Mytilus edulis: one gene and its partner. The protein of the gene in region 1 interacts with the protein of each later gene in a pairwise test. Links are inferred from orthologs where the notes say so. Each region holds a gene or a part of one and is shown in the gene's direction. Other genes may lie near its edges.

Evidence for each region.
Region 2: the proteins of RCC1-like G exchanging factor-like protein (region 1) and nucleoside diphosphate kinase 6-like interact in binary tests that used the Homo sapiens proteins (3 or more experiments, as listed by UniProt). The link is inferred for Mytilus edulis from reciprocal best matches to the Homo sapiens genes RCC1L and NME6.

Annotation. Positions count from the first base shown.
Region 1 is NC_092355.1:44,608,087-44,618,137, reverse strand, and holds the start of RCC1-like G exchanging factor-like protein, read left to right. Parts: upstream 1-4,704; 5' UTR 4,705-4,846; intron 4,847-10,051. UniProt on the Homo sapiens protein: Guanine nucleotide exchange factor (GEF) for mitochondrial dynamin-related GTPase OPA1. Activates OPA1, by exchanging bound GDP for free GTP, and drives OPA1 and MFN1-dependent mitochondrial fusion. Plays an essential role in mitochondrial ribosome biogenesis.
Region 2 is NC_092346.1:42,631,422-42,641,472, forward strand, and holds nucleoside diphosphate kinase 6-like, read left to right. Parts: upstream 1-4,017; 5' UTR 4,018-4,089; intron 4,090-8,015; 5' UTR 8,016-8,094; coding exon 8,095-8,655; downstream 8,656-10,051. Other genes in the region: cytochrome c oxidase assembly protein COX20, mitochondrial-like, read right to left, coding at 3,710-3,739. UniProt on the Homo sapiens protein: Major role in the synthesis of nucleoside triphosphates other than ATP. The ATP gamma phosphate is transferred to the NDP beta phosphate via a ping-pong mechanism, using a phosphorylated active-site intermediate. Inhibitor of p53-induced apoptosis.

The DNA of each region.
Region 1 (10,051 bases):
CTTATGCTAAAAGGCTAATTTCAAGCGATAACCTTGATGTTTTTTTTCTAGTTAAAGACGTATTAAAGAATATCAGATACTTTTTGGACAAGACCTTTCCTTGTGCTACTTGATGAAATGTATTGCAAAAAAAAATAATATGTGTTTCCATGCATTTTTTTTGTGTAAAACAACATTTGATACCGATCTATCTACGTGCATTGGAAAAAAGATGGCTCAGATATAAGAAAACATATAACTGAAAATGAATATGCACGTATATGAATTTGTACGTGATCTCACTCTACATGAAAAGAGTCAATTTCAGATCGAGGTGTGGCTAAAAGCGACGAAGACATTATTCAATTGCTGTCTTTTAAGTGTCTGTGAGAATTCTCATCAGGACGGTGTGATAATAAATTAATTATGATTATATATATATCGTTTGAAATCAATTGGTTACCCAGATGCGTACTCAGCAGGATATCGAAAAGAGGGCCCGCTGGTTCCTCAACTTGACAAAATGTGAAGTGGAACAGTACAAAGTCTAGCTTAACTATAAATGAAGCTCTATAAAGGGGACGGGCATCTAAATCCACATCTGGATCCATATTGTATTTAGAACTGGGACATCAAGTCATGCTTTTATTTTAACTGCATGTTTATTCATGACTGTATTTTACACAAAACGCTTTAAAAAGAATTCTTTATAAAATAGAATTGCTTGAATGAAAATATTTCAAAAATAATAACAAATATTTCTAATCACAAGGTAGTCCAGAAAAGAACATATGTATTTCCTCATTTTGAAGTGTCTTGTCATGTTTAGATAATACATTGATGATAACAAGACTTAAAAAAGTATACTTTGTACTTATGTTTAAAATTAAAGTATACTGTTTTGTATTAACACGTTGATAGTAAAAACAATTCTTTCCTGCTTCGGTCCATTTACTTTTTGGGGATACGGTCCATATACTGTCATAAGACTTTCAGTGTTTTGAATCATTTGTGTCTTATTTTACTTTTAAGTTTGTGTTTGTTTTTATCATACTGTTACTGTAAGACATAATAGTGTCCTATGAAAAAGTGTCCACATGGACACTTTTTCATTGAAATTTTGTATTTAATAATGTCCATTGCCATGGAATGGTGTCCCTCAAAAGGACAGATTTTTACTGATAACAATATGAAATAGTGTCCACTCAAAGGACAAATTTTCATAGTAGTTGCTATTAAATTGTGTCCTCCAAGGGAAGTAATACAAAGGACATTACAAAGTTTTATTATACTTGAATTTTAATTAGAATATGAAGGATTTATGAGAAATTGATCAATATACAAATGTAAACAAATAAATAATGGATGGAAGTGAATATAGAGAAATTTAAGTTCTAAGAAATTCCCAGCAAATGGTTATGACAATGAAAGAATAACAATAAGAAGGAAGTGTACATCAAATATGAAGAACTTTATTATATTTATTATGTCAATTTATGTCAAAGAAGAAGGCAATAGAAAATAAATAATGTCTATTGCCATGAAATATTGTCTCCTAAGTGGACAGCATTTTACAGCAACAGTTATGAAATATGGTCCATCTGCAGAACAAATTTTCGTAGTGAATGTTATTAAATTGTGTCCTCAAAGGAAAATAAAATGGAACAGGATCTAACATATATAAGTATATTATAAAATATAGATATGTAGATAAGGATGGTATGAGTGCAAAACGAGACAATTTTTATGTCCAAGTAACAATTAATTCAAGTTCGTAATTAAAGTTAAAATGCGTCCAGTAATAACAAGGCAATGGATATCCTTTAATACTTTAATAATATTAACAAATGCCCTTACGGACACAATGTCCTGTGAAAAAAATGTCCACCTGGACAATATTATGGTAGTGAATAATGTGCATGTTCATGGACACTTTTTCATACCTGAGGACATGTTTTCATAGGAAATTGTGTCCAGGACACATTTAAATAAGTAAATATTGTCAAAATGTGTCCGGTGGACATTTTTTCATGGAGGACATTATTAAATCCTACATTACCACTCGGTTGTATGCCTTTTTGAAACGAATTCAATAACAAAGGGGGGTAATAAGCCTGACTTAAGTCAGGAGCCTTGTCATTTGTTATATACTATTTTGAATTATTTTGGAGAATTAATTAAGGTAATGATGGCATTTCTTTGATGTTCTCTGACAATATTGCTCTTAAGTTAATGCTCACTTTGTAATTTGGTTATTCTCTGTTGTTGAGTTGCCATTTCATTAACTTATACACAGTGCTTGTGTGAATTCAACCTATCCTTTTATGCATATTAGTTTTTTTTTTCAATTTAATTGAGACCCGTATTCATCAGACCATTGATCAAACGAGATTTTTACATTATAGATATAATAAGATGTGATATGAGTGCCAATGAAACAACTCTCCATCCAAGTCACAATTATGAAAGTAAACCATTATAATAGGTCAAGGTACGGTATTCAACACGGTGCCTAGGCTCACACCGAACAGCAAGCTATAAAGGCATTATGTATGTCTAAATTCTCCGCGGCTAGAAAACCGATAAACTATTATTATTTAAACTTAATATTTTAAGTTTATATGGCAATACAAATTTGATTTGATTTGAATTATATTCATGAGTTTAAGAATAATGTTTAAAATAGAAATACAATAAAAAGAGTAAAGCGGTACTGTTAAAAGTAAGAATGTATATAATAACTTTGATATACAACTCGTCTAAACATCAACCCAACAATGTTAGATCTGTAAATTTGCTTTCGCAAACTTTTGGTTCTTCCCTCGCCGGGATTCGAACCCATGCTACTGTGATATCGTGACACCAAATCGCCTGCACTGCAGCCGTCCCGCTAGTCCTTAATTGTTATAAATGTGAACATAATAATAAGAACCTTTTGACAATAAATACAAATGCTTCCACTAGAACATACATCTTCGAAAAAGAACCAGCAAATTGCATAAACAGCTCTAAGAACGATCTCAAATTATATCAAACACCCAAATACACATCCATGGTGTTAGTACTGGCTTTAATTGACTATTCAGGCAAAACCTATATCAAACAGAAGTCAACACTGGACTTTTCGACAATATGCAAAAGGTGTTTATGATTAGTCGTTATTAAGATGGTGACTCCAGCAATGACATATATAAGGGTCGGTCGTCGTATGGACATGCTGCTACTCATTCCGGCTCCCTTTTATCTTTTTCTCGCGTGTTTCTAGGAATATTATTTCTTTCCGCATTTTACCTCAAGTTTTGTATTATTCTGTTTATGGTGTTTGTTAAATAAAATTTGAACTTTATTTTTGGTAAAAATTAAAATCTTCCAAGTTTATGCCACCGTCCGTGAATTATATCTATAAATTGTTTATTCAGAATCAAGTTTGACATCACGTAAACGTGAATTATCTATCTATAAATATTATATACATTATGTCAATGATATGTACAACACCAGGTGAAATGATTACCTATCAAATTATCTTTTATGTTTCATTTTTTATCAGAGCAAGTTTTACAAACTGTTTATTTGTTTATCTCCTTACATGACCAACTATCATGTCAATTACCATTGACGTAGAGTCTAAGGACCGATCGATGTCTGAAGAGTTCATAATAACAATGCTCTAGTTATATACATATTGCATATTGCAATTAACGAGTCTGGAGATCAAATGTTGTGCGTTTTCTAGTAAGCAAGTTTTGTTTGCTTGTGAAAAAAACCCTGTAAACTTAAATTTAAGAAACAGACTTTGACGATGTATGTCATTATTTTTTAAAGGGTTTATTTCGTTTATAACATCCCCAAACATTTGAGAAAATGGGCATATGTATATGCATGTACAAATATTCTGTGAACCTGAAAATAAAATCTATCAAAACTGTAAAAAATAGATTCTGACAGAAACTAGATAAATGATTTTCGTTTTCGTTTTGTTTCATTTCATTTTGAACTAAACTTTTTTTTAAATTTAATTATTAGAATGTGCATCTTCGTCCAGTTAGTCTGAACTCAAAGACTAAGGTGTACATGAGAATTGCTGGATAGCTTGACACTATAAATTATAAATTATGAAGAAACAAAAAAGAAAACACTGCATTAACGAATATTGTTAAAGGTTTGAAGTCAGATTTATTAAAACTTAAAATGAGTTCTGTACTGGACGGAATTGTTTATCTCCACTGAACATTTCTCGCTGCTTTGGCATGAGACTTCGGCTGTTGTCTCAGTGCTCTTTGGTCGGATTGTTGTTTATATGAAATATACCCCATTTACATTCTCAATATATAATAAGTTTACTCTGAGACTATTTATCTATAGATCACGTAATAAGATCTAAGTCAATCTAACTAGAACTGCGGCTACAATAACTTTTTAATAAATATAAACAAGAAGATGTGGTATGATTGCCAATGAGACAACACTCCACAAGAGACCAAAATGTCACATAAATTAACAACTATAGGCCACTGTAAATCAATATATTATGTCCCAGCTGTTATCATATAATCAAGTTACGTAATGATTTGTGCTAATTTTTCATATATTATTATTCAAATTAATTTCATTTAAGGGGAGTAAGAACTGGTGAGAAACTGGTGAGAAATTATTCCAACGACAAGTGTACAAAGGGAAATAACTCATTTTTCCAAATCCGGATATCCTTAACAGTCAACGAACACAATTTAGAATGTGAAAATGGCTGCGCCCATGAAAACACAATATTTTTATTGGATTTTATCTCAAACTTAAAATAACACCATCTTTGACTAAGTGTCATCAAATGCCTGACTTAAAAATTAACTAGGAGAGGAAAGTTTAAGTAAATAATTTTATAATTCATCGTCAGTACATTTAAATCTGATAAGTTCAGCCTTTTTTCAACTGAATGTTATTTTTACCGTGTGTTCTTGTACTGTAGTTGTGCTGTTCTTAGTCCAAATAATTATGACATCTTGAAAGGCTATTATAATTTTTTTCTTTGACGCCTAAGCATTATGACGTCGAAGTAAGGCGTCAAAGAAAAAAAATATAATAGCCTTTCAAGACGTCATAATTATTTGGACTATGCTGTTCTATGAGTAACACAGCCTTCATGCTGAGTGGCAGCCCAGGCAGCCCAGGCTAGTAAAATTGCTCTCGGGCCTGTAAAAATCTAGTCCAAATAATTATGACGTCTGGCAAGGCTATTTTAATTTTTTTCTGGGACGCCTTCCTACAAGGCGTCCCAGAAAAATAATAAAATAGCCTTGCCAGACGTCATAATTATTTGGACTAGTAAAAATCATATCTTCAGGCAAACAGAATCTAACTAAAAATTTTCAAAAATTGAGCTCCGGGCCTGTAGTAGTGTAGATTTAAAAGTTTGTCGTGAAGACTGGTAACATACATTTTCATCCTGTAATAGTCTTAATGAGCTCGTCCTAAGTCAAGAGCCTTTTAATTAGTGGATGTCATTGTTTGCTGTCTGGCATATTCTTAGACTTAAGTATTTTATTTTGTGTTTTTGAGTTAAAATGTAGCTTAAATATAGAACTTAAAACTGACAACAGTTGTATGGGTTCACACATCTCTTTAATTCGTACATGCACAATATTGACATTATTCACACACAGTCCTTTCATTGTACAACGTTGTACATATTGTTTATAGGCATTGTCTGCGCGTACCCGCATGCGGGTACGAATAATCAAATTGCCATTTAGGCTGCGCGTACCTGCATACGATTTTCTACTAAAATGCCATAGGATTGGGAATGAAACGTGAAATATATACGGAAGTTATCGATAATATGGGAATTTCGTGTAGAAAGAGTGAAGAGTATGAAAAATAATATTTTCAAATTGTATTTATTAAATAATGATACATAATAAACAGTGCAAAATTAAATTCACAATGATGGAAAATGTAGTCCCTGTAAAAGAAAAACATGATAGAAATTAATACCTGAATACTATTCAGTTTAAAATTTAAATGAAAATTTAACAAATAAAATTTTAATAATTTAAACATTTTAAAGAAATGCCCATAGGATATTTTAAAATAATCTTTAAGTAAAATGTAAAACAGAAACTGAAATTTTAAAATATATAAAACTAAAATTAAAGCTTGAGTTTATACAAATTAAAGAAGCAAAAATATGATTGTTTTGGCCTGAGACTACTATAACACATAGTAGTCTCAGTTTTGGCACAGATTTCAACCCTGCACATTTCAAATGTTGCCAGTCTAAACAGCAATCTCAGGCCAAAGAGTCCTGATTGTGTAGTTTTTTTTCTCACTTTATACATATCCAGTCGTATGTTTTCCTTCTTACGGTGATCTTAATTTTTAGTTGTTTATTCTGTTGTACTTTATATCTTCTTTAATTTTTGTGCTGCCTGTCAATTCTATGAAATTTAATGCCTGATAAATGTAGTTCTGTACAAATTTTTCTAGTTCATGATAAGTCTGAAATGTCTTCCCCACAGTTATAATATCACTCTCTTCCATTTTAAGAATATTTTCTAACTGAGAAAAAACTATTCACTTACTTATATACAAAATGTATATTATATATATATACAGTCCGCCAAAAGTTAAGCACCACCTACTTTTATTGCATCGATTTTTTTTCAAATTTAAAAAATCAATTGTTCCTCGAAAAATAGAAAACAATCATATAGCAATTTTGCTAATGTATACCATAAACAAACCACAAATATAATTTTGGTCACTTATGAAGGTTCTATGCATATAGGTTTTTCGTTCATAGAAATAGTGTAAATTACACAATTAAGAAATGGAATTTAAGTTTCACTGTGATTTTATTTTTTTACAACAATTAATCACCCAATACCATTAAAATTTTCTACACATAATCTTTGGTATGTTTGGCAAATTTAATGTCAATATTTGAGTCAATAGCATGTGTAACAACCTCATTTCCGGTACAGTTTCATAACACGACCTATCTTTCTCGGTACAAGCCTTCAAAACTTTAGTTGAGGAAATCTGTTGCATTAAACAACAAATGCCACTTTTAAATCGACAAACTTTTGTGAAGGTGAATCTCTGCGATTGAGATTTCCGACAATGGCATCTCAGACATGTTTGATAGGGTTCATGCATGGAGTCAAGGAAGGCCAAAAATTAGTGTAAATGACTGGTTGCTCTTTGGACTCGGTTAAAATTCTTGCCCTGCGTGGTATAGCGTTGTCATTCAGGTACAAGTGTCTTGACAATGTTGACGCAAGTGGGGGATTACTAAAATGACGGACTACAATATGTTAAGGCACCAAATCTCTGTATGTCTGTCCGTTTATGTTACCCTGCAGAATATGCATACCCAGCTTATAACGGTATAAGAAGCAACCCCGTACTGGAACACAACCAGCAATGCATGCAGTCCTTGTGCAAATATTGTTTTTGGTCATAGGCCGTTTTTTTCTCCTGCGAAATTCGTATTATGGCGTCTTCTGGCAGTAAAGGAAACTGACTCCCATCTGACCAATGAGTGTTTTGTCAGGTTCTTATGTTCAAGCATAGATGTTCATTATCCCATTTAAACCTGACGGTAGAGTGCCTGCTTGAAGGTACAGGTCTCTATACACCACGACGTGCTCTTCGTTTGCCTCTATAAAGTCGACGGACCAATGTACGAACACTTACACGACCACCTGGAGAAACAGTGTATAAATTTATAAACGCACATATGACCTTTGATAAAAGGTTGGTTGACTGCTTTATCGGAGTGCAATCTTTTTGGTTGTAATGAATTTTTTTAGTGTATGTTAAAGGTAATTCATAACACCAAACATTAATATTTTTTTTGCAATAGTTAAAAAAATATTGCCAGTTATATTTCGGTGGTGCTTAACTTTTGGCGGACTGTATATACAAAATGTATATATATATATGTACATGTATATTTATAAAATTTCTGAGTAATTTTAATCAATTTATTCACTAATTGCAACAAATTCCGCATATATTTCATGTTTCATTCCCGATCCGACAGCATTTAATTATAAAACCAGATGTGGGTACGCGCAACCTAGAATGGCAATTTGACTATTCGTACCCGCATAATTAAAGATAAACTGTTGTAAGTGTTTAAAGAATAAAAATAAGCCTTATCATGATTGGGTACTAATATGAGGCAGGCATTATCTGTGAAAGGGGACGAAGTCTGTATTAATTATTTTTAGCTCATCTGGCCCGAAGGGCCAAGTGAGCTTTTCTCATCACTTGGCATCCGTCGTCTGACGTCGTCGTCATTAACTTTTTACATTTTGAACTTCTTCTAGAGAACCACTGAATGGAATGAAACCAAACATGGCATGAATGTTCCTTATGAGGTGCTGACCAAGTGTTGTTACTTTGTAGCCTATCCATCATCCAAGATGGCCGCCAGCGGGGGACTTAGTTTAACATCATGAACATAGGACCCTATGGGAAATGCATACAAATGACTTCTTTTAGAGAACCACTGAATGGAATGAATCCAAACATAGCATGAATGTTCCTTATGAGGTGGTGACTAAGTGTTGTTACTTTGCAGCCTATCCATCATCTAAGATGGCCGCCAGCAGGGGACTTAGTTTAACATAGGACCCTATTGGAAATGCATACAAATGACTTCTTTTAGAGAACCACTAAATGACTTGAATCCAAACATAGCATGAATGTTCCTTATGAGGTGCTGACCAAGTCTTGTTACTTTGTTGGCGATCCATCATCCAAGATGGCCGACAGTGGGGGGACTTGGTTTAACATAGGACCCTATGGGAAATGCATACAAATGACTTCTATTAGAGAACCACTGAATGGAATGAAACCAAACATAGCATGAATGCTCCTTATGAGGTGCTGCCCAAGTGTTGTCACTTTGTCGCCAATCCAACGTCCAAGATGGCTGACAGTGGGGGGACTTAGTTTAACATACGATCCTATGGGAAATAAATACAAATTTTTTCTTTTAGAGAACCAATGAATGGAATGAAACTAAACATAGCATGAATGTTCCTGATGAGATGCTGACCAAGTGTTGTTACTTTGTTGCTGATCCATCATCCAAGATGGCCGCCAGCGGGGACCTATATATGGGAAATGCATACAAAAGTCTTCTTCTAGAGAACCACTTATTTGAATACAACCTAACATAGCATGAATGTTCCTTTCCTAATGAGGTGCTGACCAAGTGCTGTTTATTTTGTAGCCAAATTTTATCTTTTTTTATATGAATTCAAAAACCCAAGTAGAGTCAGGTGAGCGATACCTGGATACAGGCTCTTGAGAGCCTCTAGTTTTTGTAACTTCAAAATCTGTTAAAAAAAGAAACAGAAATACTGTAATGTTTCCAATTTTGGTTCTGTTGTTAGGGATTTTACTTGTGACGTTATTTAAGTTATGACGTCATGTTCAATGTAAACAAAGAAACGCGATCATCAAGTAACGTTGATTCATATCAAAGGCAAAGAATTATTAAAAATGAAATTGGTATGGTGTTCCTTGAGTTCCTATATTTTACTAGACTAATCAAAGTCTCATGACAACAACACTGGAAGAAGGAAGTAGATTTCTGTGTTCTGCGCAAATGCGGGATTAAAAAAAAAGTGGCAACATGATTTTGAGTTCATTAGTACAATGTACAATGAAAATATAGGAATTTTCTCGTTTTTGTTTGTTTTTTTTATTGATTTTTCCACTGTAATAGGGGACCAAAAAAATGTCCCCTTACTAAAGAGCGCCCGGTTGAAGAAAAAGCCCCCAGGGAGAAGAAAAAATGCCAGGAGAAGATAAAAAGGGCCCTGGGAAAATATATAGATAATGTATTGGCATGACACAACTTTGTGTGGATGAAATAAGTTATGCACATTGATTTTGTTTTTAATTTTAGACAAGTATTTTGCAAATTCAGATTATCATGATTATAGACATTTGTTATAAAGCACAAAAACAAGTATGAATCTTTCAAATTTAACAATAATATATGAATACTATTTCGAAAGATAGATAATAACACCCTTTGCATGAATAATTCACA
Region 2 (10,051 bases), on another chromosome or scaffold:
TTTAACATTCAAAGTATATAAAACAGTCAGTTTAACAGAATCAACATGATTACTTATCAACTAACCTACGATTTATTAAAATTCTATAAATTATTTCAAAGGAAGGTGTCAAACGCGGAGCTGGGTTTTATGACAAATATAATAGGTTTTTAGCAGTTAAAGTTAAAACAAATGTTACATTGTACATGTTATATTTGCGGTTTTTATAATCAATTTGTTTGATAATCGAAGTTCAAAAACATCCCTTATCACTTTCACAATTTCATCATCATGGCAAGGTCAAGAAAACAGTCCGCAGGTGAGATTCTTTTATAATATCCCTAATGAAAGATAGAAATACTGTTTCAAGCGAAAGGTTAATGTATAAATTTGTATCTCTATGGTGTCTTTATTTATTTCTCACATGCAACCTAAAAATTTAACTGAATTATATACCGTATCACATGCATAGCATCCCAAGAATATAAACATAACTTCGTAAATGCATCTCATTCTGATTTTAGTTGTTTGTGGTGAACACAGTAAAGTCTGGCATCACCTCCGAAAATCAAAAAAGTAAAAAACAGATATTATGAAAGGACATCAAAAATTGCTGGTAAAAGTAGAAATTTTCGTTTGCAAAATATAATACTAGTATTGGTCAGGTGAGCAATTGTGATCTGTCTCGTCTCACTTTGCATCCATCGGTCTGCCCGTCTATCTGTCAACTCTTAACATTTCCATCGTTTTAACCAAGTTTGCAGAGCTGGTGTTGTGGAGTGTTAACGTAATTTTTAAGTAAGGCAGTTAAATTTCACTTTATTGAAACCATGTACAATTGGCTTAGACACATTGACGATGTGCAAAACAATTATTTATTTGTGGTGTTCCTGTATTTCTTTATGTCACAACTACCAGCACCATGTCTTTCAAGGTTTGGTTAAGATATTACCTGATATTCCTATATAGATAATTTTACAAGTGCTGGTGTCTTGTTTGTAGATTGGTTCCCACAGGAACACAGAATCAAAATAAAATGTTTGCATGACCTTCAGCTTCTGTTAGTGGGGCTGCAGCTTTATAACTGTAATAAACTCACTCATATATGCAATATGAATCCCTTAGTGCGAAAGTTAGGAGATTGTTGTAGATTTGTAGGAGACCTTGTCATCATAACTCGGTGGTTCTCCGCGGAACAGGGACATATTGTTTTACCTCTGTCCATCTATCCGTCAGTCAGTCACTTGATATTTGGTCAGGAGGATGCACTAGGAAGCATACAAATCTATTACATGTACTTGTACGTCATTATTGCATTTTCCCCCTGAAGATATTCAATTGACTAATATGAATGCAACACCAGTTTTCCAAGCAACCATTGCCATTTATAACATTCAATAGATTTTTTTATGTGGAGGGTGTGCTTGTGTACTCCGGGTTGAGGTCTGTCTCTACCCTTATTGTCTTCAGTCCCGTTTTCTGGCAAATATATGGGGGTAGTTTCAATGAATAGAAGCTCACATATTTCTTGTTAATTACAGTGAGTGTAGATTGTTGTCAGGTGTGGATTAAGGCGGTTTCAGCTTGAAATTTCTCGTTCATTTTACAACAAATAGTTCGAGATAGCTACATTTCACCCCTTTAGAAGAATATTTCAATATAATTTTACCTCAAAAAAATTTTTTCGTCTCGAACCGCTCAGCGAAATTAAACTTTGTGCCCCCCCTCCCCGCCCTTAACTGGAAATCCTGAATCCACCCCTGAGCTTGCATCATGTTTATAATCATAATTCAAAAACTGACCAAAGATTTGTATAGTAAAAATTAATAATGGATTGGAATCGTGTGGACTAAAAACAAACATTATGATTTGATCGATCAGACCTCAGTAATAATACACCTTAATTTATTGGTATTTGTCCGCCATTACTGGATATCACACAGGTTCCTGTAAAATTTTGATGTCATAAAACAAAATATCTGACGCCACAATCGAAAAGTGATTGCTATATGCGTGAAATGTTCAAGCGGCCGGGTCAGCCGGGATTAGCGATAAGATGTATTAGTTTTCTTTTGATTAGCGATAAGATGTACATGATGTATTAGTTTCTTAAACAGGTTGGGAACAAACCCCCTGGATGGTGATTATACCTGTATAGAGGGATAATCCTTCTTTAGAGGGATAAAATTATCCCTCTATACATGCTATAGAGGGGTATTTTCGTTTGCACTGGATTTAAAGCAAATTAGGGCAGAATGGCATTTTCTAGTTATATTGGCTATAATCTCTAGCATTATATGCATCAACATATGCACTTTACTAAAAATTGGGATAACCAGTTTTCTGCTAAAGTGACAAAACTTGCAATCTATTGTATACCTATCTGAACACCTGATCAACAACAAAAGGAATAGTCAGTCAGGGGTACTACTTGTACAAGTGTATTTAATTTACTTGAAGAAGTAAAAAAAAATATACACATATACATGTAAGTAAATTTTTAGGATACTTATACAAGTGAATTTTATTTACTTGTATAGGTAAAAAAAAAAATGGCTTAGTTATGTCCCTTAGTCATTCAGAATTTTTTACTTGTATAAGTAAAAAATTCATCCTTTCTTCTTTTCTTGAATTCTTAAGATTTCTTAGCTCTAATAGAATTTTAAATTGTGTACCCTTTGCAGATGTCTTTACTAATCATTTAAGTGTAATTTCATGGACAATGAAAGTCCCATTTGTCTGTTATCTTCTTAACACTGCTCATTTACAAGCCCCAAAGGAGCAATTTTTGAATGCCTTGCGCAAATATACAAGATCTTTGCTCAATCAGTTTCTTTGATGAATTAATGAGATGAAACATTGAACTTTAATGAAAAAATTTGAGCAAACCTGGGAAAAATCATTAAAGGCATGATTTTACATCTCAAAACTTGAGGATTTGTGTGGGATTGTAAGAAAAATTTACTTATACAAGTAAATTTTTCAGAAAATTAAGGGGAGATTATTCAAACATTATCTATTTACTTATATGTGTATATTTATTTTCACTTCTTCAAGTAAATAAAATACACTTGTACAAGTAGTACCCCTGACTGATAGTTGACCTTTAAATTTCATGTTAAATCTAACAATAGAAATTCTGTTCAGTGAGGCATAAGTGAGTAGAATTTACCTGATCATCACAACTTTCAATCATGGTGAACAATAGATTTTATATTTAGTCAGATAAGCATCAAACTGGGCATGTGCATATTAAATTAAGTACATCAATTGGTGCATCAACTGTTCCAGGTTACTGCCATAATAAGTAGAGAATGCCATTCTGCCCTATTTTGATTTAAATCCAGTCTAAACAAAAATACCCCTCTATAGACGGATAAATTTACCCCTCTATAGAAGGATTATCCCTCTATACAGGTATAATCACCATATAGAGGGTTTGTTCCCAACCTGTTAAAAGAAGCTATGTTGACACAGAGACATATAATACAATTTGTATGATATGCCTCTGGTTGACATAAGCCAAAATTTATATCGCTCCCTTGTCGGCCCAGGGGCCCATAAAAAAATGGCATGTCTATAAAATTTGGAGATAAACGAATCTGGGTGCGAACGGAAATTTGGGACGAAATGACCCAACTCTGTCCCCAAACGTCAGGTGAATGTAGGTTGGAAAATTGTATCTTCCGCGGAAGCTTTATGAGAAACCATAACTAAGTAGTTGGCTCACTTGTTTTTCTTGGTTTTCCTCTTCTTCCATTTTGTAATGATAACCTTGAGTATTTTACGTAAATTGTACGTTACATAAGTACAGAATTTGTTGTTTTTGTCGTGGTACGTTAGGTGCTTGAAACTAATTGTAGAACTGTTTCGGAAAGACACCGTTGGTCAAAACGGAAAATATTTAATAAAGATATGTTTATATTTCAAAATTTTCCTTTTGATAAAAGTGACCTTATGAAATTTAAAACGACATTAGTATGAAACAGATTGAACATTTGTCTTAAACTTCACGTTATTGGAAAACTAATTAAATGTTTGGTTTAAAATGAACACTTCATCTAAGAATACATTAAAACGTTTTGAAGATTGTCATGGAAAATTGAAAAGGTACTTTAATTTTAATCCAGAAGCAGAGGGTATGGTATCATGTCGCTCATAAAGTTGTCGCTTTATTCAATACCATATATTGGTGGTGTATATTTACTGTATAAATGGATAACTCCGAGTGACACTGATATGAAACAGGTACTCAATTACATGAAATAATGCAGAAATAAAAATAAACAGATAAAGGTCATTTAAATGATTTGCAATTGCAAGTCAATAATTGAATGTACAATGAATTATATAAGCGGAAGTATGCTAAATTCCTAAACCTTATTGCTGTTTTAAAATTTGTGTCACTTTTAAAATTGGTTGTCATCATCATGGTAATTCAACACTAGTTTTTTCTAGTAGCTCCAGACAGGGTAACACGAATTACCGAATAACAGTGTTATTATCCGAATAACTCATGTAATTACCGAATAACTCTTCAAATATCAATATTAACACATTTAAGTGACTTTTAAACATATAATATGAGGCAGGCATTACCTGTAAATGGGGACGAAGTCTGTATGAATTATTTTTTTGTAACTTACATTTTTATATTTGTTAAGAAAAAGAAACGGAAATACGTAACGTTTCCGATTTTGGTTCTGTTGTTAGGGATTTTAGTTATGACGTTATTTAAGTTATGACGTCATATGCAATGTAAACAAAGAAACGCTATCATCAGGTAACGTTTTTTCATATCAAGGAATTATTAAAAATGAAATTGGTATTGCGCGTTCCTTCCTATTTTATACTAGACTGATAAATATATATTTTACTCAAAGTTTCATACAAACGAGACCGGAAAAAGGAAGTACATTGTACATTTCTGCGCAGGTCCGGGATTTCAAAACATGACATAAAAAAAATTGAACGATTTTGAGTTCATTAGTACAATGAAAAATTCGGGAAATTTTCCCGATTTTTTTTTTCATTGAATTTTCTACTGTTATTGGGGACTTCGTCCCCATATTATTGAATAAAATTATAATAGAAGTGTATTTTATAACCTAAAAATAAAAAAAAAGTTGCAGGTAAGTTAATATTGATCATTATAAAATTATGGATATCGGTGTGTACTTCCAAGATGGCGACCAAGGAAAACGTAAGAAATGAAGAAAAGAAAGATTGCATACAATCCCTCAACGTGTTCATCTTAGACCACCAAAGTGGAGCCCTCACGCCACGTCACGGCAATGAACAATGTGAGGGTGGGCATTTTTTAAAATAAAATATGGAATAGTAAACTATTTAAATTAGTTTTTGTTTTAATTTTAGTTATTAAAAAAATATTATCTTTATCATATTTTTATATTTGTGATTTAGAAATGGATGTTAACTAAGCCCCTTTAAATCTATAAAATTACAACTATTAAGATATCCTGCACAAGGCACGGGCTTATCTGTCATAGTCCGTGGAAATACTTTATTTAGAATTTATTGTAAAAAATTTATAACTACTAAGATATCCTGCACAAGGCACGGGCTTATCTGTCATAGTCCGCGGAAATACTTTAAAAATTTCTTATATAATAGAAAAGATTTTTTTATGTTCATTTTAAATATATAACATGTTGTATAATCATTCTTATTTATAAGATATCTATATATATAAAATTCTGATTTGTAGAAAGTAACGCAATACAGTTGTGATTCTTTTTTTGGTGTTTCTTCTAAATAGAAAATATGTGGTATAATTTGTGCTTTCTTAACTTGATATATTTCTGATTTATAGAAGGTAACACAATATAAGGAAATGGCTTATTTCATATTTTTAATCACATACTAAAAAACTTTTCAATACAAGAACAGTAAAAATACCCAAGCATTAACAATATCACGAAGTGGCAACACCTAGCCGTAAGGCAGCAAGAAGAAGTCCAAACGCGTTTTTTCCTTTTCCTTTTCTTCCTGTTCCCCAAAATTCGTCAGGAACATTATGATTAATATAGCCACTTGTTGATGTTAGTCGGTCTCTGAAAGCTTTACATTGGAGGAATTTCAGTTTCAATATTTCTGCCATTACAAGGGGCTTCTGGTCTTCCCATGATTTCCTTGTCTTCAATTTCTTTGACAACATTTTGGCTTTTTTTGAATCTGATAATTGTTTTATTTGGTGCAACAATTCATACTCTTGGTGGTGGTTACATTTCATACACTGATATAAGTGTTCTGCGGAGGGATATGTGTAGTCTTCGATTAAAATAATTTGATTAGATTTGAATTGAATATGTGAAAATTCTTAATTACATTTTATTTAATAGAATAAGAATAAAATTGTTTATTATAGTGTCACATATTGATTGAAACAAGACATTCACACAATATTCATATACATACATACTACAATCAATATCCAGCCAAAAAATGACTTATGAGACACTGATCCTTAAAACCAAAATATATACAAAAATATACTTTTTAAACTTGTAAGTAATCACATAAAAGTTTTATCTAAATGGAACAAGTAGCTTAAAATATAAATAATTCTTAGTTTAAAAAAAAAAAAAAAAAAAAAAAAAAAAGATAATGTTGAGTAAATTGTTATGAAAAGTAATTAGTGATTGGAGTAATTGCATTGCTTTGATGTACTGGTTAAATTTTCAAATCCTTTCTGAAAAACAATTATTAGACAATTCTCTGTATATACAGTAAATTATTTAATACTATATTTTCATAGCGTTTTCCTTTGAAGGCATATATGCAATCTTTCTTTTCTTCATTTCTTACGTTTTCCTTGGTCGCCATCTTGGAAGTACACACCGATATCCATAATTTTATAATGATCAATATTAACTTACCTGCAACTTTTTTTTTATTTTTAGGTTATAAAATACACTTCTATTATAATTTTATTCAATAATATATGTTTAAAAGTCACTTAAATGTGTTAATATTGATATTTGAAGAGTTATTCGGTAATTACATGAGTTATTCGGATAATAACACTGTTATTCGGTAATTCGAGGTACCGGCTCCAGACATTCTCAAAACGCGCCTCCATATATACCTGCCAACCTTTCAAAATGCCCATGGGGGTTTTACGTGCAAGATGGCTCTTACAGTCTTAAAAAAACTTTAAGGAGGCCTTCAAATGTATTTTTATGATAAAGGTCATTTGGACTTGCAAGTCAATAATCGAATGGACAATAAATTACATTAGCTGAAGTGTGCTTAATTCCTAGACCTAATTGCTGTTTTAAAATCTGTGTCACTTAATTGGTTGACGTCATTCAACACTAGCATATCGGGCACTGACCTCTAGCATATCTAGATCTGGTACTATACACTTTATTGCTATTTGGAATTTTGCCTTGCTCAACCCAAAATTTCCCTCGTGAAATTTTGAGTTCATTCAACACTCACTTTTCCATTGTGTCGTCAGATATTTTCTATTATGACATCAAAATTTTACAAGAACTTTTGTGATCACCGATGTCACGTAATGGTACCGATAGACAAATGCAATAATGTATTTTAATTAGGTGGTAATATAATATATATTATACCTACCTGCCTATAAAAATGTATTGTCATATGCATGTAACGTTTGTATAAAGTTATACGTTTTACACAGATCTCAAGGCAAGACATTAAATTTAAACTTGCTGTAAAACAATCACATTGTCATTCTTCATGTTCTTGACAAATTAAAATGTTTGTGAGCAAAACATATTTAAATAAAAACCATTGTCAATGTCTGACTGTCAATGACTGTTGCCTCCTACCTGATGATGACCATTAAAACACAATATGATCAAATATAAATTACATGTTTTAAGATACATGTATATAGACTATGGCTATGTAGTAAGTTTTTATACAGATTGATTAATCGTGTACATACAAATGTACAATGCATATAAAAGTATTTATTCACCAACTAATTGATTTTTTTACATTGGAACTCTTACAATTTTTTTTTATTTATATTTCAGAGATTTGCAAATAGTCCTGATCCATACTTGAGAGAAAAATACAAAAAACTACAGTGGGAAGAAAAAAAGAAAAAACAAGATGCCTAATTGTTTGTTAAAACCATTACAATTAACTTTAGCCATTTTCAAGCCAGACATTGTTTCTAGACCTCATATTGTTCAACAAATTAAACAGATGATTCGAGATGATGGATTTTTTTTTGTAAAATCGACAACATGTTATCTTCCACGTTCAAAAGCCGAGGAATTCTACAAGGAACATGATGGGAAGTTTTTTCATAATAGACTTGTTACTTTCATTTCAAGTGGTCATGTGAGTGCCCATATCTTAGCAAAACATGATGCAATTAAATGCTGGAGGAAGTTAATGGGACCAACTAAAGTCCTGAAAACTGTTCATGAAGACCCACATTCGATACGTGGGAAATTTGGATTAACGGACACCAGGAATGCTACTCATGGTTCAGATTCGGAGGAGAGTGCTAAAAGAGAGATTAATTTCTTCTTTCCTGATTTTGATATTGAAGAATGGCATAGAACAGAAGAACAATATTTTAGAGAAGGAAAAGTTAAATTTTGTGAAGATAAAGAAATACATGTTATAATTGCTGAAAATGAACATAAACTGAGTCATGAATAGTAATTATACGACCGCAAATTTTGAAAAAATTTTCGTCGTATATTGCTATCACGTTGGCGTCTGCGTCGTCGTCGTCGTCGTCCGGCGTCCGAATACTTTTAGTTTTCGCACTCTAACTTTAGTAAAAGTGAATGGAAATCTATGAAATTTTAACACAAGGTTTATGACCACAAAAGGAAGGTTGGTATTGATTTTGGGATTTTTGGTCCCAACATTTTAGGAATTAGGGGCCAAAAAGGGCCCAAATAAGCATTTTCTTGGTTTTCGCACTATAACTTTAGTTTAAGTTAATAGAAATCTATGAAATTTTGACACAAGGTTTATGACCACAAAAGAACGGTTGGGATTGATTTTGGGAGTTTTGGTCTCAACAGTTTAGGAATTAGGGGCCAAAAAAGGGCCCAAATAAGCATTATTCTTGGTTTTCGCACAATAACATTAGTTTAAGTAAATAGAAATCAATGAAATTTAAACACAATGTTAATGACTACAAAAGGAAGGTTGGTATTGATTTTGGGAGTTTAGGTCCCAACAGTTTAGGAATTAGGGGCCAAAAAGGGACCCAAATAAGCATTTTTCTTGGTTTTCGCACCATAACGTTAGTATAAGTAAATAGAAATCTATGAAATTTAAACACAAGGTTTATGACCATAAAAGAAAGGTTGGGTTTGATTTTGGGAGTTTTGGTCCCAACATAATAAGGGGCCCAAAGGGTCCAAAATTAAACTTTTGTTTGATTTCATCAAAATTGAATAATTGGGGTTCTTTGATATGCTGAATCTAACTGTCATGACTGTGTATGTAGATTCTTAACTTTTGGTCCCGTTTTCAAATTGGTCTACATTAAGGTCCAAAGGGTCCAAAATTAAACTTAGTTTGATTTTGACAAAAAATGAATCAGTTAGGTTCTTTGATATGCTGAATCTAAAAATGTACTTAGATTCTTGATTATTGGCCCAGTTTTCAAGTTGGTCCAAATCGGGGTCCAAAATTAAACTTTGTTTGATTTCATCAAAAATTGAATAAATGGGGTTCTTTGATATTCCAAATCTAACTGTGTATGTAGATTCTTCATTTTTGGTCCTGTTTTCAAATTGGTCTACACTAAAGTCCAAAGGGTCCAAAATTAAACTTAGTCTGATTTTAACAAAAATTGAAATCTTGAAGTTCTTTGATATGCTGAATCCAAAAATGTACTTAGATTTTTTATTATGGGCCCAGTTTTCAAGTTGGTCCAAATCAGGATCTAAAATTATTATATTAAGTATTGTGTAATAGCAAGTCTTTTCAATTGCACAGTATTGCGCAATGGCAAGAAATATCTAATTGCACAATATTGTGAAATATCAAATTTTTTTTTAATTAGAGTTATCTTTCTTTGTCCAGAATAGTAAGC